Linked DNA regions of Caenorhabditis elegans. The protein of the gene in region 2 interacts with the protein of the main gene of each other region in a pairwise test. Each region holds a gene or a part of one and is shown on either strand. Other genes may lie near its edges. The genes, in order: F23A7.3 and nhr-1.

The links.
Region 1: the proteins of nhr-1 (region 2) and F23A7.3 interact in a two-hybrid assay, tested with the Caenorhabditis elegans proteins (one large-scale study listed by BioGRID).

The regions. Positions count from the first base shown.
Region 1 is NC_003284.9:16,218,062-16,224,272, reverse strand, and holds F23A7.3 (Crinkler (CRN) family protein), read right to left. Parts: upstream 4,264-6,211; 5' UTR 4,258-4,263; coding exon 4,105-4,257; intron 3,288-4,104; coding exon 3,150-3,287; intron 2,508-3,149; coding exon 2,457-2,507; intron 2,405-2,456; coding exon 1,922-2,404; 3' UTR 1,913-1,921; intron 903-1,912; 3' UTR 545-902; downstream 1-544.
Region 2 is NC_003284.9:17,517,768-17,522,760, forward strand, and holds the start of nhr-1 (Nuclear hormone receptor family member nhr-1), read left to right. Parts: upstream 1-1,967; 5' UTR 1,968-2,249; coding exon 2,250-2,439; intron 2,440-3,055; coding exon 3,056-3,143; intron 3,144-3,215; exon of another isoform or gene 3,216-3,424; intron 3,425-4,457; coding exon 4,458-4,537; intron 4,538-4,648; coding exon 4,649-4,714; intron 4,715-4,993. UniProt on the Caenorhabditis elegans protein: Orphan nuclear receptor which acts in concert with the insulin/IGF-1-like signaling (IIS) pathway during osmotic stress, perhaps in response to a ligand modified by the sulfotransferase ssu-1.

The DNA.
Region 1 (6,211 bases), 1.3 Mb from region 2:
CATTTATCGTGCTTTGTTTTCTGCGTGTTTTCTTTCATTTTTCACCGATTTTTTCCGTTTTTTCTTATCAAAACAAATAAATAAATATTTTTTGCAGATGCTAAAACAATTTCCAAGTGAAAAAATTGTGAATTCAGTCGGCAAGTAGCAGTGAAAGTGGGCAATGTAATATGATGGATTACGGGAATACAAAACCCAAACTTTTTCTGAAACATAATATATATGCTTTTAAGATGCTGATAGTACCTGATTTTCATAACGAGACAGCTAAAAGAGTTTTTAGATTATCAAAATTCAACATTTTGTGCCAAAATCTCGACTTTTTTACCAAAAAAGTTGAATTTTGAAAATCTCAAAACTTTTTCAGCGGTCTCATTATGAAAATCAGGTACTTTTAGCATCTAAACATCATATGTATCATGTTTGGGGAAAAGTTTGGGTTTTGTATTCCCGTAATCCATCATATTACATTGACCACTTTCACCGCTACTTGCCGGCTGAATTCACAATTTTTCATCTGGAAATTATTTTAGCATTAACAAAAAATATGTATTTATCAGTTTTAATAAGAAAACACAAGAAAAATCGGTAAAAAACACAAGAAAAGAAAGCAAGTAGAAAATGTCGTAAAATGCGGTGTATTGTGTGCAAACACCGATTTTTCGCATTTTTTCTCAGCCCTCGTTCGAAAAAAGTTGCAGTGACATGTTCTAATACAAAAGTTAATAACATTAGACGACGTTCGGACCTATCCAGCAAGAGAGTTGTGAATAAAAATAAAATGGGCGAGGAACATGTTCAGGGAATGGAAGAAGACGGTTTGAAAGTTGAATGCCAGAAATTTTTGCATTTTTGTGTGATTGGTTTTGTTGATTGAATACGCAGGAAACACGTGCATCCGTCTGAAACATTGCAAAATGGTATACGTCTACACATATATTATAGCGCACATATAGTGCGTCCAACTGGGACACCCCTAACTTTAGGGATTTCGGATATTTTCGAACTTTTTCGGGGAAAACTAATGCGGGAATTGGATTCAGCATATCAAAAAACCTATGTACCTACAGTTTCGTTCTGATTGCTCAACAATTGAGAGCAAAAGAGCAAAAAGTTGAAAAATTGACCGCCCAACTGCTATGGGGCTCCCTCAGATTTTCAGAATTTTTCACGAAAAGTTCGATTTTTCGAAAAGTGTCACGTTGAATAACATTCAATCACATGTTTTGCCAGTATATTTTTTGGTTTTCATATCATCGAATAAAGATGAAACAGGAATCCTTCCAATTTTCACATTTTAGTACCTTGAAGCCCGTTTTGAAGCTACTGCATTTCCAATGCTCACCAAACTTCCAAATCTGGTAAATTACACATCATTTCACATTCTGGTGCATTTTCCTACATTTCGCACTTTTTTGAGCCATTTTAAAGATGAATTTGTACTTGGCTTTTCCCTATTGTTTGTTTCCAGAAGGCTTCTGAGCTCTTTTCTGAGCAACCGGGTGAGTTTTCGTTACGAAATTTTCTAGACATGTTTCTCACAACCCACTTATCAAATTTTGCTAACAATAACTTTATCAGCTATCTGTACGGCTTTACCCTCTCTTGTCATTTATTTTAAGACAATCTAGGAATCTCATTCGTTTAAAAAATTTGGCAATTTGCCAAAACTTCGATTGTTTAAAAATTAAAAGGATTAAAAGACGATCCGTTCTTCAATGTACTGCGGATCTGGAAGTCAGGTACACTGCCGAAAAAACTTTTTGAAGTGTTTTATTATAATATTCGGTTGTTTCGAATTATTAAAAATGTATTTAGACAAAATGCTCCCTGGCGCTACTCCACCTTTAAATGCATATATTTTTGGCCACGTACATACCCATGTTAATTAAAAAACCTGAAAAAAACTCACCAATGCAATCTAGGTCCCAACTCTTCGTTGCTTGTTTATCAAACCCAAAAGTGCAGATACCATATTATCATTAGCAGTTTTGTTCTCAACAATTTCTTTGTCCTTGGCTACAACTTCCTCTTTCAACTTCGAGATCGTTGAAGTGTACTTTTCAACTTCCTCCTTATGCTTGTTCTGCATCTGGAAAACCATTTTGGCAGCCACCTCAGTATCTTTTGACTTCCATTGAATGTGGTCTTTGAGTTGCTGGATTTCCTCGTGGCGTTCGAAAAGTTGGGTATCCTTTCTGTTACAGTTAGTTTGGAGTGTTCTGTGTTCCGCTTCCAAATTCATCAGTGATATTCGAACTTCTGTTAATTCGCGTTTTGTCTCGTAAAGGTCTTTTTTCATTTCATTAAATTCTTTGTTTGTGTCTTCTTCCAGTTCATCTCTACATATAACAGGCCAATATAATTTCAGATTGCCATTTGGTAGCAATTGAATCGATTCGATCTACATAAGCATTAAAATTTCAAACAAATCGAGAAAGAAACAAATATCTAACCTGGTGTGGCTCAGCATCTTGTTCAACTGCCACAAAATTTGTCCCATCGATCTGAAAACATACATAATTAATTTATTGTTGGAATTCCCGTTTTTTTCTTTAAAATTTGATAAAGTTTACTTTTGGAGCAATTTTAAAGCCCTCGGAAGTAGTGTGAGAATGCACTGTTAAAATTTCAAATTCGACTATTTCTAGTTTAATCTATCTAAAAGATTCGTTTTATTATGATTATTTCCAATTCATGAAAAAGTATAATTATTTTGAAAAATTGGCTCTGCTTCTATCTTGGTTTCTTTTTTACGCTTTTGGGTCACACTTTTCCACGAAAAAGGAATTTTTATATTTTTTGTATATTTTCAATGAAAAATTTAGGGGTCGCAAATCTGAACGTACAACGTCCGGACCGGACGTACGGTGTCCGGTTTTCAAAATTTTGAAAATATACCAATAAGAAGAGTTTCAAGTCTGCCGACAATTTCCGAGTTTAGCCACTCACTATACTCATAAGCTCTATTCAATTTTATAATGAGTAACCAAACTCGCAAAATGTCGGGCGACGTGAAAACCTACACATCGGAAAAATTTAAAATTTGTAAAAACCGACGACGTCGGATTTTCCAGCTCCAGAGAAAATTGACAAAATAATTCCGAAAATGAGAAAAATTCATTTCAAAAAAAAAAAAGCAAAAAAACCTGTGTTTTCAGTGGGCCGGATTTGTGATCGCGAAGTTTCTCATACAACATTTTCAGCTGATCATTTTCCATCAGTCGCTTTGTATCGGGCGAAGAAACTATTGTTGGGAAATACGCAATGTACTTTTCGTTTGATGTCTGAAAATTTTTAATTTGTTTTGAAAGATAGTGGGTCAATTTTGATTACTGAACCCGACCAGTTCTTGATAATTAAAGATGGAGTAGCGCCATTGGAAAAATTGCTTTAAAAGATGCTTATGGTACCACAAAGACCATGACCAAAAATCATAGTAAAAAAATTTTTAAAAATTTTCTAAATTTTATATGATTGTTTGAAAAATGAACAAATCTCGAATTGCATCAAATTCCCATTTGATTTACCTCCAATAGTTCGATGTTCGATGGAGCGCGCTTGCCTTTTTTAATTTTTATTCATCAATTTCTCTCATTTTTGACTTATTTTTCATGTTTTTTTGTGTGATTTTACTAGAAATTCAATGAAAAATTCAAGATAAATGTAGATTGTCCACTGAAAATAACTGAAAACAAAGAAAGAACGTTTTTCAACGACGTTTAGCCTGAACAAATCTATTTCACAGGTTTAGGCTTTAGCGCCCGCTTTTTAATGAAAAAAATTACAATTATCTTGAATTTTTCAATTTATTTCCAGTAAAATTTCTAGAAAAAACATGAAAAATCAGTCAAAAATGAGAGAAATTGATGAATAAAAAATTTAATAAAATGGCAAGCGCGCTCTATCGAGCATCGAACTATTGGCGGTAATTCAAATGGGGATTTGATGCAATTTGGGTTTTTTTTGTTGATTTTCGAAAAATAATATAAAATTTAGAAAAAATATTTCAAATTTTTAACTGTGATATTTGGTCATTGTGGTACCATAGGCATGTTTTGAAGCAATTTCCCCACTGGCGCTAATCCTCTTTAAAAAAATTACCTCTTGGTCAATTTCCCAAATCATGTTTTTAGGAAAATGTGCTATGACAAAAGGGCCATCACTGGGAGAAGTTAGACCTTTGTTGACTTTTTTGAATTCAAATGCGTTTGGCTTGTCCTCGGCCGTTTTTCTTTTGCAAATGATTCGTACCATTTTTTGCTGAATTAAAAATATTACGTATTTATGTATATAACGTACTTTTCATTTAGTATTGTATCCCATAATAAATTATATACATATATATATATATATATATATATATATATATATATATAAAGTGCTGGCCAAAAAGATATCCACTTTCTGTTTTTTGATGATTTCGATATTTTTTCCATTGAGCATAACTCCAAAACTAGGAAAGCTATCAAAAAAGTTTCAACTGGTAAAATGTAGCTCGTGATCAGGCCTATGTATTTTTACATGATTAAATTATTCACCCAAAACATGGCAAGTGATAAAGCGGCCGACATCTCGTGAGTCCGCTTTTGATGATGATTACTAAAACGACTGTAACTCGAGAAACATATTTTTAATGGAAGGTTTTTAGAAAGTAACACGATGTTTATATAATTTTTTATTGTTTGAACATACTAACTTCGTCCTGAAACCTCCATTGAAAAAGACAAGAGAGTTTAAAGAAGAGAAGTGTAGAGTAATATCGAGCTCATTTCTCAAAAATAGTAGATTTTTTTTTCTGAATTCTGTTTATTGGTTAATATGTAGTTCAAATATAATAACAACATCAGTTCTTCACAAAAATTGTCGGAAAAAGATTTTCAATCCAAGAAACCTGATTTTTGAACAAAGCCTCTAAACAGTGTCTAATGAGACACTAGTTTCAGCGCACACATTTTTTTAAATGGAGGTTTTAGGACAAAGTTGATATGTTCAAACAATGAAAAATTAAATAAACATTTTGTTACTTTCTCAAACCTTTCATTAAAAATATGTTTCTTGAGTTACAGTCGTTTTAGTAATCATCGTCAAAAACGGACTCACGAGATGCCCGCCGCTTTATTACTTGCCATGTGATGGATGAATAATTGCAACATGTAAAAATACATAGGCCTGATCACGAGCTACATTTTACCAGTTGAAAATTTTTTGATACCTTTCCTAGTTTTGAAGTTATGCCCATTGGAAAAAATATCGAAATTGTCAAAAAACTGAAAGTGGATATCTTTTTGGCCAGCACTGTATATATACGCAATTAGTCGTCAAACGAGGTTGCATTTAACAACGTAGCACGTAGGGTCAGAGTGTCCCATTTTGGTTTGAACTACGTAAATCTACGAGAATTGGAAGGCAGAATTTATAAGCAGACTTCTCCACTGATTTCGCATGGTTAAGAACGTACCGACGTCACATTTTTTTGGAGAAAAATTCCCGCAATTTTTGTAGATAAAACCGTAATGGGACAGCATGACACAATGTGGCTTAAATTAACTGAGCTTTTCACTGAATTAATAAAGGAGGAAAACATTCAAAAAATTAAACATATCCCGCGAAGTCACTGGGAAACTTTTTATGAAAAGATGAAATAACGCGTGAAGCCCTATTAGCTGACACACTCACTGATATGCAGCAGCTATTGAATTTTTTTTCATTACGCTGCTTCTCAAAAAAGATAGTGTTCAGTGAGAGGCACAGACGCTCGCTCAGACTTCAGAAACATGTGACATGTGAGAGACGCAGACATGTGCTTTAGCGGTGCAAAAAAAGAGCAACGGGAATAGTGACGTATGAAGCTCAGACCAATTTCCCACAAAAACTACTTGCAGTAGATTTTGTGAAGCAATAACATAACTGAAGGTATTGATAAGGAACCGGTTGATGTATACAAGTCGTTCATCAAGCGCTCTGACCCAAAAAGATTGAACAAAACGGGTAGTGACTTTCTTTTATGCAAAGTCAATTTTCCGAACTGTATTTTAAAAAATATGAAAAAATATGCCATCCAAAATTTAAAAATCATTGAACAAAACAATGCAAATTGCATTATACGTCAATCACAAAACTATACATGGCCAGGCTGTTGCATTATTGTGCAATGCCATTGTGTAAGATTCTCCAACATCTAAAACGTATAGCTTTTACACGTATTGCA
Region 2 (4,993 bases):
CTATGGCTCTCTCCTAAACTTACTCTACTCTCCTACTCTCCTAAACTTACTCTTAAAAATATGTCAAATAATAATCTAGTGAAACATGAAAAAATCAATAACAGAATTATTTTTATCAACAACCCTCCGCCCTGCCTCTGATCATATCGAAAACACGCTCTTGTTTCTATTTTTGTGCCACCCCCTTTTTCCTCTCTTGCCTGATCAATTTTGTGACGTTGACTCTACCATTATTCATAATTTTTGACAAGTTTCTCAAATTTAGTCTCTTCCCTTTCATCAGCTGACAGATATTTTTATGACAAATAACACACACAACTTTACGACGATGGTCTGATCTACGTGTTTCGAAATCAAAAGAGTATGGACTGATTGATCGCACAGTTGAAAGTCTACACTGTCTGGTATAAAAGTTCAAGAAAATATTATGGTAAATGTGACTCATGGTTTCTTTTTTTTCTCGAATATCTATTTCTAAAGCTTTTTTTAAACTATAATTTTCAAAACCTTCAACTTATTGGTCATTCCAAAAAGAACTTTTGCTCCATCTTCTTGCTCTTTTGCTCATCTCTCGATCTTTGTAACACACATACACACATATGCACCTCGTTCTCGAAACTCGACTACTCAAACACCGTCGTGTACATATCCGATATCTTCTCGTTTTTTTTTTTCAGAAAGTATCCTCCGCACATACTTCTCATACATAGCACACAACGTCAACCGAATTCCGAATTAACGAGCCTCCGCCGCTCGCCGAATGTGAGTTTTTTTTTGTAGGCATGCTCTTTTTTTTTCATTCACATCAAGTTTTGATGGATTGGATTAGATTTGGGGTTTTGCCTTTTGCGCTTTTAGTCGTTGGTTGGTGCCTTGCTCTTAACTATAATTGATATATATATTCTGAGTGATCGTATAATCCTTGAGAGTATTAGCTTACTTCTTCAAAATCCAAAAAACTTCTGCCAACACCACGGATTTTGGTGGTATGAAAAAGGTGTCAGATTAGGAAGAACGTTGGCTGTTTTTTCTTGCGGAAAAAGAAAACCTTGACAAAACAACAGAAAAAAGGATTGGACTCTATTTCCAGAGGAAGTAGATAAGGATGGGAATTAACGGAACATTAAAAATCTAAAAAAAACTTCGTTCAACATTCCTGACTATTGTCCTATTTTGACTACGATTTTTGAAACTAAAAATAACCTAGGTCACTGAGCCAGTTGAAACTTAGATTCAAAATTGCCACAACTAAAAGTTCCTTGCATTTTTTTGCTCAACCTCTATCTTGGCGTTTTTTTAATTTTCTAGATAAAATGATATCCTTTTCAGCGACTTTTTGAGATTTTTTTTTAATTTTCAGTGTTCAAAATCATGATGGTTCTGTTAATTTAACTTTTTAAAGTATAGATCTTATTTTCAGACTATTTAAGATCTCGAAACTATATAGGTTCTGCTCTTTTTCAATTTTTGGCTGATTAACTGGATTAGAAACATTTAAAGGTCTCTATCGTCTCCACAAGAAAAAAACATGTTTTCTGTTTCTCCGGAAATGACCTTGGAATTCAAAGACTCTAGTTAATTCGATCTCTGATCAGATATCAGAAAGCATAATTCAAGTTACAAGCCTCCCCTGACTTTGCACAACAATTCGATTGGAAGCATCTTGATCCATCAACCTGTTCAATATTTTTTTTTCTTGTTTCAAATTGAGCAATTCCAAATGGAATGAAATTTTGGAAGATGGAGCAGATAGGCTTATGGTTGAGTTGAAAAGGAAATGGAAAAATTCGTCTCCTTTCCCTTTGCAGTCCTCTCATTTTTTGAGCTTCTCCTTCGTTGGTCCCTCGTGTTTTTTTTCGTCGTTTCTTTTTTCTTCTTCTTTTTTCCCATTGCATTTTTCTTCCCTTCACGGCCCCCTTTCTCTCGTGGGGGCCCTGGCGTTGTCGCCCACAAGCTCCGCCCAGTTCACCACTCTTCTTCTTTCTTTGCTCTCTCCAGCTCGCCGAGCTTCTTCTCCCAGTTTTCTTCGCTCACTGCTCCTTTCATTTTTTTTCTTTGATCGTGCTCACCCTTCGTTGTCGTAGTCTACTTGAGACGACGTGGCGGTGGTGTGCTCACTAAGGAAACTAAATATTCTCGCGCAACACCAACGACTGGCGACCGAAGACGACGTGTGCTTTGCTCCGTCGTCTTCCCCCTACAGTTCTTCGGGACACCGCGGCGAACCACCAATGCACGTGTTTTATAGTATGAACGGTACACTGGCCGATCAACTGCAAAGCCATCTGGCCAACTACGGGCAGCCAATGGTCAACTCGCAACGCAACGAGGATCCGTCAATGTATATGAATGGATCAGCCGCCTCCGTTTCCCACACCAACGGCTCATCCTCGATGGGCAATGATCAAAAATTTCCGTCTTATAAGCGAATGGCTCAACGTAAGTTTTATCCGTTTTATTACTCGGAAAGTTGGAAAATTTAGTAAATTATCATGCTCTTTCCCAGTGGTTTCTTTCTTCAAAATAATTTTGTTTTGATGCTGAATAGGTTTTATGAATTTACAAAATTGAAAATATGAAATGAGAAAAACAAAGCATTTAGGTGAACTAGCGTACATTGACAACATTTTTTTGCTATTCGGCAGCTCAGTTTTTCAAAATATTTTTTTGTGAAGATCATATTGGTTGGATGTACTTGTGTATTCCCGCATTTTAAATACTATGTGATTTCTCAGTTGAATTGTAAATTCAATTTTAAAACAAATCTATTTGAAATAAACTGAGGAGACAGTGTTGTCAGTTTAGTGTGAACTGAAATTTTTTAAATTTGCAAGAAAACACAACATTGTTGAATTGGTTTTTCCATAAAATTTATAGTTTTTGCAAAATTTCTAATAACACTTTTTAAATGTACTTTATAAAAATTTTTAAATTTCCAATAATCCTCTAAAAATTCCCGAACCTTGAAGCTTTACGATTTCTCCACCTAGACAGTTCAAAAAGTTTCTTTAAACACGCTTAACCCCCCAACAATATTAAATTTCACTTTTTTTAGGAAGGAAAGTGCCCGAAGGAGAGCTGTGCGCAGTTTGCTCGGACCTTGCCACTGGATATCACTACGGAGTGGCTAGCTGCAATGGATGGTACGTGGCTGTTTTTTTGTTGTTGCCAGAAAAGATAAAATGACGTTGGACTTTTACACTCGACCCCCACCAAATGAGACTAGGAAGCTGGAGCTCACTGAGCTCTCTGGGGACAATCGTGTTCTTTGCTTCACTCCGCTATCCGTTTCCTCCCCTCTCCGCTGCCTGAAGCGAGACGGGTAAAACTGAGTGAAATGTGATAATGCTTAGGAGGGGCCCTTTAAAACTTGGCCTTTTTGTGTCTTGTTGGTCTTTAGGTTTTGCCTTCTTCCAAAATTTCTAGTCCTCACTCAGTGACCAACAAGCAAACAATGAACTCAATAGACTATGTGAATATGGAGGGGCTCCTTTTTTGGTTTGGTTCTCTGGTTTGCTTGCTCTTGTCAAAACCACACATGCCAAGTTCACCTTGTCTTCAATTTTTTCTCTTTTCTTTTTTTCATCTCGGCCAATAGTAAAAGTAGAAGACCCTTTGAATAAGGGGAGAAAAGCGAAAAAAGCGATCAAGTAGAAAATCGCGTCACGCTTTCGAGAGCACATAGAGCAATAGTGGCAGCAGTAGCTGCACGAGGCAATTTAGAAAGATGGGGAAAAATCCACGAAACATTTTTTTCCTCCCCAATTCTTTCGCTCTGAGGAAATTAATGATGGTCTATGTTCTCTTCCAACATAAGGGTACCAAGATTTTCTCACTCATTTTGATAATTTGATTGGATTTTAGAGAGAGAGATTACATTAGAGACATTAGAATAATTGAGTAATTCAATATTTCAAGACCAAAGAACTAGATGGTGTTCCCCAGAACAATGTTACTGTTGAAATTTTGGTTGCGATTTTCTTTAAAAAAAATTGTCAATTACTATTTCAAAACTCAAAAAACATAGGGTACTTAACTAGTAGCCGTATTTCATGTTAAAAATAGTTTAAGTTTTTTAGTTTTAAGCCAAAAATGGTGATTTGTAAGTCTAATCTTTGTTCAAATGTTTAGCCTTTAAAAAGTATACTTTTGCAAAATGAAAATTTAAAAACTTTTCGAAAAAGCTGGCTAAAATAATTTTAATCGGTACACAATTTTTTTTTGTGACATCGGTTTGAGGAAGGTAATAACTTTTTTCGAAAGCTAATAAAATGTATTTCAAATAAATATAAAAAATCGAATAAACTTTAAGGTTTGATTAAAATGAAACCTCAGGAAACACTTTTGAACATTTGAAAGCAAGTTTATCATAAGTTTCCGCTGAATATATTTTTCACAAAATTTTGTGACAGTTTTCAAATCATCTCCTCACTTCAAACCTAAAAATCTGTTTTCAGCAAAACCTTCTTCCGACGAACAATAGTCAGTGAGCAAACCTTCATTTGCCAATATAATGGAAATTGTGATGTTAATAAAAGTGAGTTTTACTCTAGATTTTCTCGGAAATCGCAAATTGTCCGGTGGTGTCTGATCATGTACTTTTGCTTATTTTGAAAGCATTTTTCAACTAAAAAAAAACTACTTGCAGACATTCGATGTGCATGCCGTCACTGCCGCTTCAACAAATGCCTATTGGTGGGGATGGACGCAAAAGGTAAGTGAAGAGCTCCTGAATATACAATAACCCGTTTGATGACATCCTACGGAGCAGCCAGGGGATTGCAAATTAAAGATACCGACACCAAAACAAGAAGCGTGATAATTAGAGCTTTGACCTCTGGGGTTATTTTTCCGGCGGGAAAATCACACCAAAACACGTGAAGTTGATCTCTGGTGTGGCTCTGTGGTTTGAGTTAAGCCGCGGATTCACGAATTCACGAATTTATAGACACTTTATTGGAACTTTTGCTTATTTTCTCTTCTCAAATGAAAA